Linked DNA regions of Rattus norvegicus. The protein of the gene in region 2 interacts with the protein of the main gene of each other region in a pairwise test. Links are inferred from orthologs where the notes say so. Each region holds a gene or a part of one and is shown on either strand. Other genes may lie near its edges.

The links.
Region 1: the proteins of Ipo13 (region 2) and Pbx4 interact in binary tests that used the Homo sapiens proteins (3 or more experiments, as listed by UniProt). The link is inferred for Rattus norvegicus from reciprocal best matches to the Homo sapiens genes IPO13 and PBX4.

Annotation. Positions count from the first base shown.
Region 1 is NC_086034.1:19,591,691-19,597,328, forward strand, and holds part of Pbx4 (pre-B-cell leukemia transcription factor 4), read right to left. Parts: intron 4,635-5,638; coding exon 4,393-4,634; intron 4,123-4,392; coding exon 3,932-4,122; intron 2,432-3,931; coding exon 2,296-2,431; intron 1-2,295.
Region 2 is NC_086023.1:136,735,633-136,741,912, reverse strand, and holds the start of Ipo13 (importin-13), read left to right. Parts: upstream 1-2,434; 5' UTR 2,435-3,074; coding exon 3,075-3,158; intron 3,159-4,847; coding exon 4,848-5,584; intron 5,585-6,280. UniProt on the Homo sapiens protein: Functions in nuclear protein import as nuclear transport receptor. Serves as receptor for nuclear localization signals (NLS) in cargo substrates.

The sequences.
Region 1 (5,638 bases), on a different chromosome or scaffold from region 2:
ACACACAAAACCACACAAATATAAAAAATACCAACCCTAGTAAAAAAAAAAAAAAAGGCACCAGTTTAATAGCTCACACTTGTTACCCTAGACTTTGGGAGGCTGAAGCAGGAGGATTGCTGTAAATTCAAGGCCAACCTAGGCTGGAGTGAGGCTCTGGCTAAAACACTTAACCTAACTGAACAAAACAGGGAAAGGGCCCAGATAACTGAGGGGCTCCCTGCTCTGCAGGGAAGGCCATGCCTCCTCCAGGGTGCTAAGTGCTCTCTAAGATGATTTCATTTTGTTTTATGTGCTTGGGTGCTTTGCCTGCATATGTGTGTGTGTGTGTGCGCGTGCGTGTGTATGTATGTATGCATGCATGCATGTATGCATACATGTAAACCATGTGCATGTCTGGTGCCCCTAGAGGTGGGAAGAGGGCATTGGATATCCTTTAACTAAAGTTACAGATGGCTGTGTGCTGCCATGTGGGTGCTGGGGATTGAACTCAGGTCCTCTAGAAAAGGACCTGCCCCCTCGGGACAGAGATTCTCTGTGTAGCCCTGGCTGTCCTGGAACTGTCTGTGTAGACCAGGTTATCCTTGATCCGCCTGCCATCTCCTGAGGGCTGGGATTAAAGGGATGCTCTGCCAGGCCCAGCCCTGTATTTTCTTTTTGAGATGAGGATCTAGCTGTGTTACCCAGAGGGAATGGGACCCTGGGTTCGAGTGACCTCCCTGTGTAGCTGGGACGCAGGCTACCCAACTGCTCGGCTCAAACGAAGAACAGACTTTCAGTGTGGATAAGTCAGGCGTCTGGGCACTGCTGAGAGGGAGTCGAGGACTCCGTAACTGGCAAGAAACTGTCTTCACAGGGAGACCCCACCTCAGCCTCAGCTCAGCTCCTCTTGGGGCTTCCTCAGCCTGAGGTGCCCTAACCATGTTTGCTTCCTTCCTCTTGATTTCTGAGGTGCACCTCATGGCCTACTCACTTGCACCCCAAATTCAAAACCTCAGTTAATGCGGCTGGCCACGTTAGTCCTGACACCTACTAGGGGATGTGACAAAGTGGGGTGGAGCTTCTAGAACTCAGTTGGTGGGGATGGTCCCAGGGCCCAGGTCACCCAGGAGACCCTGCAATGTGGCAAGGCCTTTGAACCTGGCTTACTTTGCTCTCTGGAGGACCTGGCACCAAAGACAAGGAGCCCCGGGCACGAGGGTGGGGTGGGTCTGCCTGTTATGCACACTGTCCCAGGTGCCCAAACACCCACACTGGCCGTCCTTCCCAGAGGGATAGCACTTCCCTCAGCTCTGGCCACATGAGGAGCAGGCAGCTGTGCCTGGATCCTCTATGACCCTGGGCTGAGGACAGTGCCTAAGGGCGGGACACTCACCCTTTCCAGCTGTGAAGCTAGGAGGGATAGGGCATGTGACAGGCTGTGGTGACTAATGTCAGTCTCAGTGTCCATCACCACTGGGTGGCAGAGGTAGAGGAGCTCTGCTCTTGTGACCCGAGACCTGGGCAGGCCCACTCTGCAGCTCACACTCCTTGCTCCAGGGCTCTGCCCCACCTTCCTGCCACTGCGCTGCTGCCTGAACTCACTCTGAAACCTTCAGGAATGCTCTCCTTGCACTCTGGCCTTTGCTCGCTCCCTCCTTTGCCTCGAATTCCAAGGAAGGCAAAGGTGATTGTTGCCAAGCCACAGGGTCAGGAATCTCACTCCCCCACGGGAGCTCATGCCACCCACTGCTCCTGCCGCAAACACGTCCTGGAGCCTGAGCTGCTTCAGTCTCCTAGAGCTCACACCGGTGCCTTGCGACACCATGACACTCTTACACTTCTCTGCAAGGAGAGGGAGCAGAGTCCCCACCAACATTCTAATTCACTGTGCACAGCTCAGACTGGAGCTGAGCCAGGTTGAGGCACATGACCAGCACTGCACATTGATTAACTTCCCCAGGAGTCCTCCCCACACAGTACCTTCCCAGGAGTCCTCCCCACACAGTAACTTCCTTGGTGTCCTCCCCACACAGTAACTTCCCAGGAGTCCTCCCCACACAGTAACTTCCCAGGAGTCCTCCCCACACAGTAACTTCCCAGGAGTCCTCCCCACACATTCAATAATTTTCCCAGGAGTCTTCCCTTCTCCCACATTAACTTACTTTCCTAGGAGTCCTCCCCCCACAGTAAGAGCTTCCTGGGGAGTCTTCATCATACATTAAGTAACTTCTCCAGCAATCCTCCTCAACATCGAGTAGTTCTCCAGGAGTTTGTCCTCATAAGACTTAACTTCCTCAGGGCAGGAGGGCTCACCTGGGACACTGTGATGCCACCCTTCCTGGCCAGCTCTTCCTTGGTCTCTTCACTGGGGTAAGGGTTGCTCAGATGGGAATAGAAGTATTCATTCAGCACCTCGGTGGCTTGCTTGCTGAAATTCCGCCGCTTGCGCCTACAGACAGAGATGCTCAGTCTGTAGCACTCTCATGGGGCAGAGTCACAACTCTCGTGTCCCTAATGTCCTGGCAGCCTATGTGTGTGTGCACGTGCAGGCCAGAGGCTGATGCGCTGTGTCCTCCGTCACTCTCCACCTTGCTTCTTTGAGGCAGGGTCTCTCACTGAACCTGGAGCCCAGTGATTGGGCAGACTGGAGAGCAGCAGGCCCCAGGGACCAGCCTTATCCATGTGGCCAGTGCCTGGCTGCAGCAGCTCTTGGCTTTAAAAGACCTGTATGTGTGAGTGAGTGTGCGAGAGTGTGTGCTTGTGTGCAAGATTGTGTGTGTGTGTGAGTGCATGCATGTGTGTGTGTGTGAATGTGTGTGTATGTGTGCATACTTCTGGTGTGGGAAGCCAGACCAGACCAACCAAGATTTTCACAGAGATCTGATGACAGAGAGCGCTAGTTCTGTGTACCTGCCCAGCTTGGCAAGGCCGGGCCAGTGCCTCAGAGAAGCCAAGGCTGCAGCTCTGGGGACCAGGCTGTTCCCCTGGGCTGTGGCTATTGGTCCTTAACCAGCCGTGTCTGAGAACCCTGTGTATTCTTTGCCAACACTGCCTGACTTTGCTCTCTCCCAGACTTCCATTTCCCCTCTGCAAATAGTAGATAGGGCAATATATTCCTGGACAAACCTGCTTAGCATAAGCCATCACTTATGCAGGGTCTCCTGGCCCCAACTATTGCTTATTCTCCTCTTGGCCCTGCCCCACTTGATACTTCACCGTTCAGGACCCTTATTCCTGCAGGTTCATGTCACTCTGGGGTCAAATTAAGGTCCTGAGACTTTTGCAGCAAGTTCCCTTACCCCCTGAACCATCTTGCTGGCCCATGCCTGGCTTTTTCTGTGGGTGCTGGGTATGCAAACTCAGGTCCTTCTGGTCGCATGGTGAGCACCTGACTGAGCGAGCTGCCTCCCCATCCTCATCTTCTGCAGTTTTAGACACAGCAATCGGGCTTGACATGCCTCAGTGGGTAATGAACATGTATGAAGACCTGAGTCTGGGTTCCCTGAACCCATGTGGGAGCCATACATGTTAGTGCATGTCTGTAGTTATGGGGCTCCTGGGGCAGGATGGGAAGTGGGCAGCTGGTCTGGAAGTCACAGTGGAAAACAAGAGAGAACCTGCCTCAAGCACGGTGGAAGAGGGACACCAGTACCCGAGGCTGTCCTCTGATGCCATTCACATACACAAATGAAAATGAACCAGCAGTCTGTACTTTGGGTCTTCTCCCAAAAAAGCTGTGTGGGGCCTGGCTGGATGCTCTGGACGGACTTAAACTCAAGACAGAGCGGGGCTGGGGCTCAGTGGTAGGGACAGCATGTGGTTAGCGCTTGCAAAGCCCTGAGTCCCATCTTCAGCAACACTATGACAAACTCCAGAGCCATCCCACTCCGATCCTGCTTCTGTTCCTAAGGGCCAACCCTTGGGGACCCCAGTGGCATGCAGCCCTGACCTGGCATCCAGGAACCGTGAGCGTAGGGTCATCACAGCCTCACAGGTGCTCTGTTTCAGCTGCCTCTGGATGGCACTGAACTTGCTGTGAATGGTGCTCACCATGTGCTCGATCTCCCCGGAGGACACGGGCCTCACCCTACTCTGTTCCCGGAGAAGGTTGGTGACGTGCGTGGTGAACTCACGACAGGCCTGGGGTGGGAAAAGATGGGCCAGTCTGTGACTCAGCAGCCAGGTGGTGCAGGGCAGTAAGGCTCCACAGCTGACCACATCTGCCACCCCCACAGCTCACACTCAGGTCACCTCTGAGGAGGGAAAGGCGCTTTCAGTGACACCAGCCGCCTCTGCAGCAACTCACTGCGGCGGGCTGTCCCTGCTCTGCACAGAGGAGGGGCTCGTGTCCACACCTGCCTGTGGCCAGTGCACATTCACATGACAAACTCTTGCGTGCAGAAAGATCACCTGTTCATACTTCTCTAGCTCTGAGTGGTAAATCTGTCGGATCTGGGACAGCTTGGCCCTGTAGTCTGAGTGTTCAATGCTATTGTCATTTGGGCAGCCACCTGGTGTTGCTGTGCTGCCTGCCGCTGCTCCTCCTCGTCCTCGCTTCTCTGGCCTGGACACACCCTCAGCCAGCAGCATGTTATCCAACCTCAGCAGCTGGGCATCGGGAGGGTCCTCTTCCTGCGTCTGGACGCTCACAGCTGGAGGGAACAGAGGCAGACCAGGATGTGCTCTCTGCAGAGAAAAGTGGCCAGGACCAAGTGGTACTGCACCATGGCTGGGCATCACTTAAAAATATTATGCATACGTGTGTGTGAGTGCAGGTGCCCTGGGAGTCCAGGAAGACCATGTCAGACCCCTAGAGCTGGGGTTCAAGGCAGCTGTGTGTGCCCAGAGTGGGTGCTGGGGACTGAATTCAGTCCTCTGCCAGTGCAGGAAATACGCAGGCCACCCTCCAGGTCCTTTATTACCATTGGATCAGGAACGCCTCGTGACCTACTGGGACGCCAATCCCAGTGCACAGTCCTGGTTGGGGGGAGGACCCTGAGACAGGGCAGCCTGTGTGGGCAGAACTGGACAACCATGTCAGAATACAACCGGGTGGGTTTCAGGGAAGGTGCCTTGTATTAAGAAAGCTTTGGGGGGTTGGGGATTTAGTTCAGTGGTAGAGCGCTTGCCTAGCGAACTCAAGGCCCTGGGTTCGGTCCCCAGCTCCTGAAACAAACAAACAAACAAAACAAAAAAAAAAAAAAAAAAAAAAAAAAAAGAAAGCTTTGAGTGAGCCGAGCATCCTAAGTGCTGGGGGAGGGGGCGCGCTGATGTGGGTGCAGAGGCAGAGGCAGGCGCTGAGCTGGTGGGACGGCTCAGTGGGTAGAGGAGCTCACTGCTAAGCCCCATGGACCCAATCCCCAGGGCGCACGTGGTGGAAGGAGAGCCAAGCCCTGCAACTCATCCTCAAAATACACATGCCTCTCCCTTCCCGCCTACAACATAAATACACGTGAAAAGATATTAAAGGCAAACAGCTTATCACGGGGACCAGGCACAGTATTGTATTGATGTTTCTACTAGGTGCCCGTGAGTGTCAATGTCTCCGTGAATCCGTGAATGTGTGTGTGTCCGTGTGGTGTGTGTGTGTGTGTGTGTGTGTGTGTGTGTGTGTGTGTGTGGTGGGGTGGCACTCGTCCAGTGAGCTGGCTCCTGT
Region 2 (6,280 bases):
CCAACCATTAGGCTACCTTTGAGGATTCCTATCTCTGAGAAACCTTCAGCCAGCAGCAGACCTGGCATGGTTCACACCCTAAGGCCTGGAGTCAGTTCTTTCTTTTGGCTCCCTGACTCCCTCCCTTTGAAGTCTCCTACCTTTACCCTCTTCCCTTTCCTCCTTCAGTTTCCTCCACACTTCGGACAGATTTTTCTAAAATGTAAATGTATCATGAGTGCTGATCTGAAAAGCCATCTAAGTCTCATATGCAGTTAGGGACATGTCTACACTCCTGCAGGGTTTTACCGCCCTGCACTGCTCCTCACAACCACCTGTCAGTCATCCCCTCCCTCCTCCACATCCTCACAGCGTCCCTTTTTTTTTGGGGGGGGGTCTTTTTTTTCGGAGCTGGAGCTGGGGACCGAACCCAGGGCCTTGTGCTTCCTAGTCAAGCGCTCTACCACTGAGCTAAATCCCCAACCCCTCCTCACAGTGTCCCTTAAGCAGACTCGCAGTCACTAGTGTTCTTTAAAATGTTTTGGCTTTTGTTGTTTTTGAGACGGGGTCTTATAGCTCTAGCTGTCCTGGAACTCACTGTGTAGACCAGGCTGGTCTCAAACTCACAGGGATCCAATTGGCTTCTTTTAAAAACACTGTAATTTTTTTTGGGGGGGGGGCAATGATTTGCTGACTAGTTTCGATGGATAGACTTCTTTTAGCAGCTAAGTGAGTCATTCTCCTTCCCAGGCTTTGAGAATTCTTCAAGATCTTATCAAGTTTCTTCTCCTTTGGGAAGTGTTCATCGACCTTCTCTGGCCTCAGAGGCTCCTTCCAGCGCCAGCTTCCTCCCTTAGAGCACAAGTGTAGCCTAGTGTGGTAGGACACATGTAAGGTCCTGTATGGTTGTCTCCAGTCCTTGTCTTAATCTGTTTCCTCCCCAGGTTTACAAAATGTTTGCTCCTCCTAATGGTATGGCAGGCTGTGTTGGGAAAAGTTTAGTCAATAAGGAGGGAGAAGCCATACAGTAAACCCAAATCAAATTTAATATAATTTAGTCTAAAAAAAAGTTTTAGGCTGGGAGTGATGGTGCATACCTTTAATTCCAGCACTCTGGAGCAGACAGGTGGGTATCAGTTAGTTGGAAGCCAGAGTTTCAAGACAGCCAGGGACTCACAGAGAAACCCAGTCTTAAAAAAAAAAAAAAAAAAAAAAAAGAAAAGAAAAGAAAAGAAAAAAGGAAAAAATCAAAGCAAAAAGAAAGATCCTTCCATTTGAAATAATTTTCTTCCCTGCTGACAGGAGTCAATGAAAGGAAAAGTTGAGGCGGCAGAAGAAGTGCATGCTGGGAGCAGGGGCTTGCCTTCTTCCTCCAACCTTGACTTTTCCATTTTAGCTGAGGACAATGAATAAAAACACCCACCTCAAGCCTGTGAGATCCCCACTTGAAAACAAAGAAGGTGGAGGATGTGGTCCAGCTGACAGGGTGCACAGTGCTTAGGTGAGATTCATAGCATCTCAGACACCCAGTTTGGTGACACACTCCTGTAATCCCCGGGAGTGTTGGGTTTAAAGGTTTGCACCACCACCCCTGGTAAGAGATTCCATCTCAAAACAAACCAACCCACCACAGCGTGAAATATAATGAAAACCTTACGATTTCTCCTCCCCTCCCTTCTCCTCCCCTCCCTTAAACTCTCTCTCTCTCTCTCCACACACACACACACACACACACACACACACACACACACACACACACACACACACACACCCCACAAACGCGCGCGCGCGAACGGATATGATTTCCTGGTTGCTCACAAGCTGATCCATAGTGCTTTTTTTTTTTTTTTTTTTCTTAAATTGTGGGGCACCAAGTAACTCCTATCTCTTCTTCTTTGGCGGGTACTGATAGTTCATCAAAACCACCAGTTCCCTATGCCTGAGCGCCGGCCGTACTTGACCCTCTCCCCTCTTTTCTTGGCTTCCAACTCCATCTACAAGCATCCCAAGAATCATGTCTTCGCAGGAGTTGCACTCCTAGGCAATGTGACTGAGCAAGATGGTCCTCTGCCGTAAGCCGAGAATAGGATAGGGCTCCATAGGACCCCAACCCACGTGCTCCGAGACTCCCTCCTCACCGGCCGCCTTCCGGTCGGGCGGAAACTACGTTTCCCAAGGTGCATAGGGGCGGGTCCTTGCTTCGGGCAGGGGCCCCTGGCGGTGTGCCGTTCCTTCGCCTGTTCCGGGGCGCGCGAGCTAGCACGAGAACAGGGCCAAAGACCCGGAATGAGTTTCCGCGCAGTTCCGCCATGCCGAACCTGGATGTGCTTGGCCGTGCCGGGCCAGGACAGGCGTGGGTGGGGGCCTGAATTGGTGGTACTGGGGACAGGCGCTCCGGTCAGCCCGCGTCTTGCTGAGGTCCCCGCCCCGTCCCGGCCGGGCCGGCCCGTCTGTCAGTCACTGGGGCGGAGGCAGCGACCATAGCGGGGCCAAAGCCGGGAGGCGAGCATATCGCGGGCCAGGAGAACGGAGGGAACCTAGCTCAGCCCCTCAACTCTACCGACTCTGCCCCAGACTCACGAAACTGCAACCCTGTGCTTCCTTGGATGTCTCCGTATCTCGCGAAGGGCTCTCTCCAGGGTGATCTCCCAGCCCCCTGACCTCACAGCATCTAGAAGCTCATCCAGACTAGGGTGTTATGGGTACAGGCCGTTGACCCTGTGACCCCTCACGGGCCAGGGCCTCTGTTTCCCCTGTAGGCCTTCCTCCCCTATGACTTTTGATTCAAGGGACAGAGCCGTGACCTCCCACTAGGACCCTTGTCTGAGAGCACCTCACTGAGGCCTCCCTTTTGGGAGCCGCCTTAGCGCGGATCCCCTCCGAAGAGCACATCTTTTGACCTCTGCAACCCCCACCCCCACCCCACTACCACCAAAGGAGGTGGGCAGGCCTCGGCAGCCATGCCCGCCCTGGGCATCCCCTCATCCCATCGCTTCCTGGGTACTCAAGCCGGGGTCTAGCAGGGGGCTGACAGCCAAAAGGGCTGGGGCAAGAGAGAGATCAGGGTCCACCTCCCTGCCAGGCAGGGAGCAAAAATGGAGCGGCGGGAGGAGCAGCTGGGGGCTGCAGGGGCTGGAGCAGCACCAGCCTTGGACTTCACTGTGGAGAACGTGGAGAAGGTATGAGGGCCTTGGGGTGGGCACTTCAGTGACAGAGCAGAAGTTCTGGGGACTGACACTAATGCCAGAGCTCAGGCCTGGCTGGGCTCAGTGCCCGCTGGGATGATGCCCCCAGAGCACCTGGTATTTACCGTCTCTCTTGGACAGCAGTGTTGCAGTGCCTAATGGGCTATTTTTGGCTTTCTGTAGACGCAGGTCCCCTTTCAGATAGATATTCTAGCATCTTAGATTGTTAAACCCTAAAGGGTTAGGGTGCCGAAGGGCTTAGACTTAGGAACTCACAAGATCTGCCATCCCCCACCCCCACCTTAGAAACCACACTGATGCTGAGCTGTCCTGGACCCGACTCACTTTTTTTCAGTCAAAGGCACACAAAGATATCTGGAACTAAAACCGTCTGACTTAGTTTTTCATTCATCTTCAGAAAGGGTCTTTTCCTTATTGGATGGAAGTCAAACCGGTCCTGGGCAGGCAGGAGTGTGTCTGGCTCTCTTGCTTTGTGCTGGGTCCAAGGGGCTTGGCTCTGCTGGCAACTTTACAGGGCCCTTCCTTCCTTACCTACCTGCCCACATGGCTTTCTGCCATGGCCTCCTTCCGTACTTCTCCACTGCCCAGGCTATCTTATTTTATTCTATTCTTCTCCCAGCAGCCTGGAATGCAGGAATGCACCCACCAACCCACCCCCATACTCCCAGGGATGGCCGGAGAGATAGGGATACCTTGCTGGTTAGCAAGGGGCACCCTTAAACACATTTGCTGTTCTTGAGGCTTGTTTGCTTAACAAATGTTGAGAAAGCATCTCTTCTGTGTCTGTCTCCTGTCCCCTTTTGCATCCCTGAGTGGCTGAACCAGGGACAGTAGCCATAACTGGCTTTCAGGGGGGTACAGATTTGGTTAATCCTAGTTGAATGGAGTCCATTTGGGGAACCTGGCCCTTGGGGCTGGACAGTGTTGGCATGGTGGCACATGGCTTCATGTGCTGCCAGGGAGATGAGCCATTGTTTTCTCTCTGCATGAAGTCTCATTGGAATTGGGCCCTGGGGATTCTGCTGCTGACAGCTCCTGGGTAGGCGCTTACTTGGGCTGCTTCTGGCCAAGACCTCTCTGCATCATCTGATTGGAGGCTTACTTGTACTCTCTGAAGACGTTCCCTTCCCTCCCTTCTAGTGTATCTGTTCCAGGGCTACCTGGACTGAAGCAGTTCTTCTCAGATTTCACACTGGCTTTAGTGCCAGCCTCCGAGTGACCTCGGGATGATCCTCGGGGAGCAATGGGAGTTTGCTTGTTGGAATCAATGGGAGGAGCTGTATCTAGAAGGGCCAGCCCCCTCCAGGCTGTTCTGTACTTGTCTCTAGCTTACGTTTATCTCTGTGAAGCCATTCCTTTCTCCTAGGCCTTGCCCTTACATACCTGCCTATGGGAAGAGCCCAGCCCCCACTTTTTCTGCTTTCCAGTGGAGAGTCCCTCTCAGAACCCAGTGGCACTATAAGATGAGAATATGATAGAGCATGGGCAAGATTCAGGTTTTCAAAAGGTCAGCCAAGCCCCAAGATCTCCCTTCCTGCTCGCTCCTTCTCCCCACAAGTCAGGGAGAGGCAGCATCTTGCAGGATCAAGTCACACCCTCTGTTCTGGGCTCTGGCAGGATCCAGAGTAGCCAGCATCTGCTCAGTCCTGTGCTGTCCTGCAGGCGCTGCACCAGCTCTACTACGACCCCAATATTGAGAACAAGAACCTGGCTCAGAAGTGGCTGATGCAGGCCCAGGTCTCTCCACAGGCCTGGCATTTCAGCTGGCAGCTACTACAGCCAGACAAGGTGCCTGAGATCCAGTACTTTGGGGCCAGTGCCCTGCACATCAAGATCTCTCGCTATTGGAGTGACATCCCCACCGACCAGTATGAAAGCCTAAAGGCGCAGCTCTTCACCCAGATCACCCGCTTTGCCAGTGGCTCCAAAATTGTGCTGACTCGGCTATGTGTGGCGCTGGCCTCACTGGCTCTCAGTATGATGCCTGACGCTTGGCCATGTGCTGTGGCAGATATGGTCCGGCTCTTCCAAGCTGAGGACTCTCCGGTGGATAGCCAGGGCCGTTGTCTGGCCCTGCTAGAGTTGCTGACGGTACTGCCTGAGGAGTTTCAGACCAGTCGCTTGCCCCAGTACCGCAAAGGTCTGGTACGGGCCAGCCTGGCGGTGGAGTGTGGGGCTGTCTTCCCATTGCTGGAGCAATTGCTACAACAGCCCAGCTCTCCCAGCTGTGTGCGTCAGAAGGTGCTCAAGTGCTTCTCCAGCTGGGTGCAGCTGGAAGTGCCCCTGCAGGACTGTGAGGCGCTCATTCAGGCCGCCTTTGCTGCTCTGCAGGACTCGGAGCTCTTTGACAGCAGCGTGGAGGCCATTGTCAATGCTATCTCCCAGCCAGATGCCCAAAGGTGAGTACTCTCCAGCTTCCCAGAAAGGGACAGCCCCCTCTATCCCATAAGCATTAATGGGTTGTCTTGTCAGACATTTCATCCTAGGGAGACAAAATCAAGGATGCAGGCGAGACATGGGGCGGACACTAAACAACTAAATTATCTGGTAGACTTAATAAACATTTGCCTGTTCTCTTTCCCTCAGCCAGTCACCAAGTCCTTGGTGTTCTGCTCCTGACCATATTGCAGATCTATTATTTCCAGTTTCTGCTGCCACTACCCTAATCTCAGCTGTCACTGTCTCTTTTCCCAGATTTTAGCAGCACTTTCTCGGCAGCCCCCTGCTCCCCCACCCTTTGTACCCTTTATGACCCACCAGTCAGAGCGACTTTCTGAAAATGAGGCTCTAGCCTTTACTTTCTGACCAGGGGCTCTCCTCTGTTTTGGAAGTTCAAAATCACCAGTGTAACTCATAAAGATGCCTCCACCACGAGGCACATAGCCCAGCTTCATCTCACGTCACTCTCCTCCTGACTTCCTGTGCTTCTATACTGCCCTGCTCCAGGGCTGACACATCACCTATTCAACTTCAATCTCATCTCACTTCCATAGAAGTTCCCAAGGGTTCAAGGCCAAGCTTGGTCTTCCCTACTGTGTCATCTCTGAGCTCTTAAGTGAGGCTCCTGGCTTTCCTTCCAAGCCTGTAATGCGACT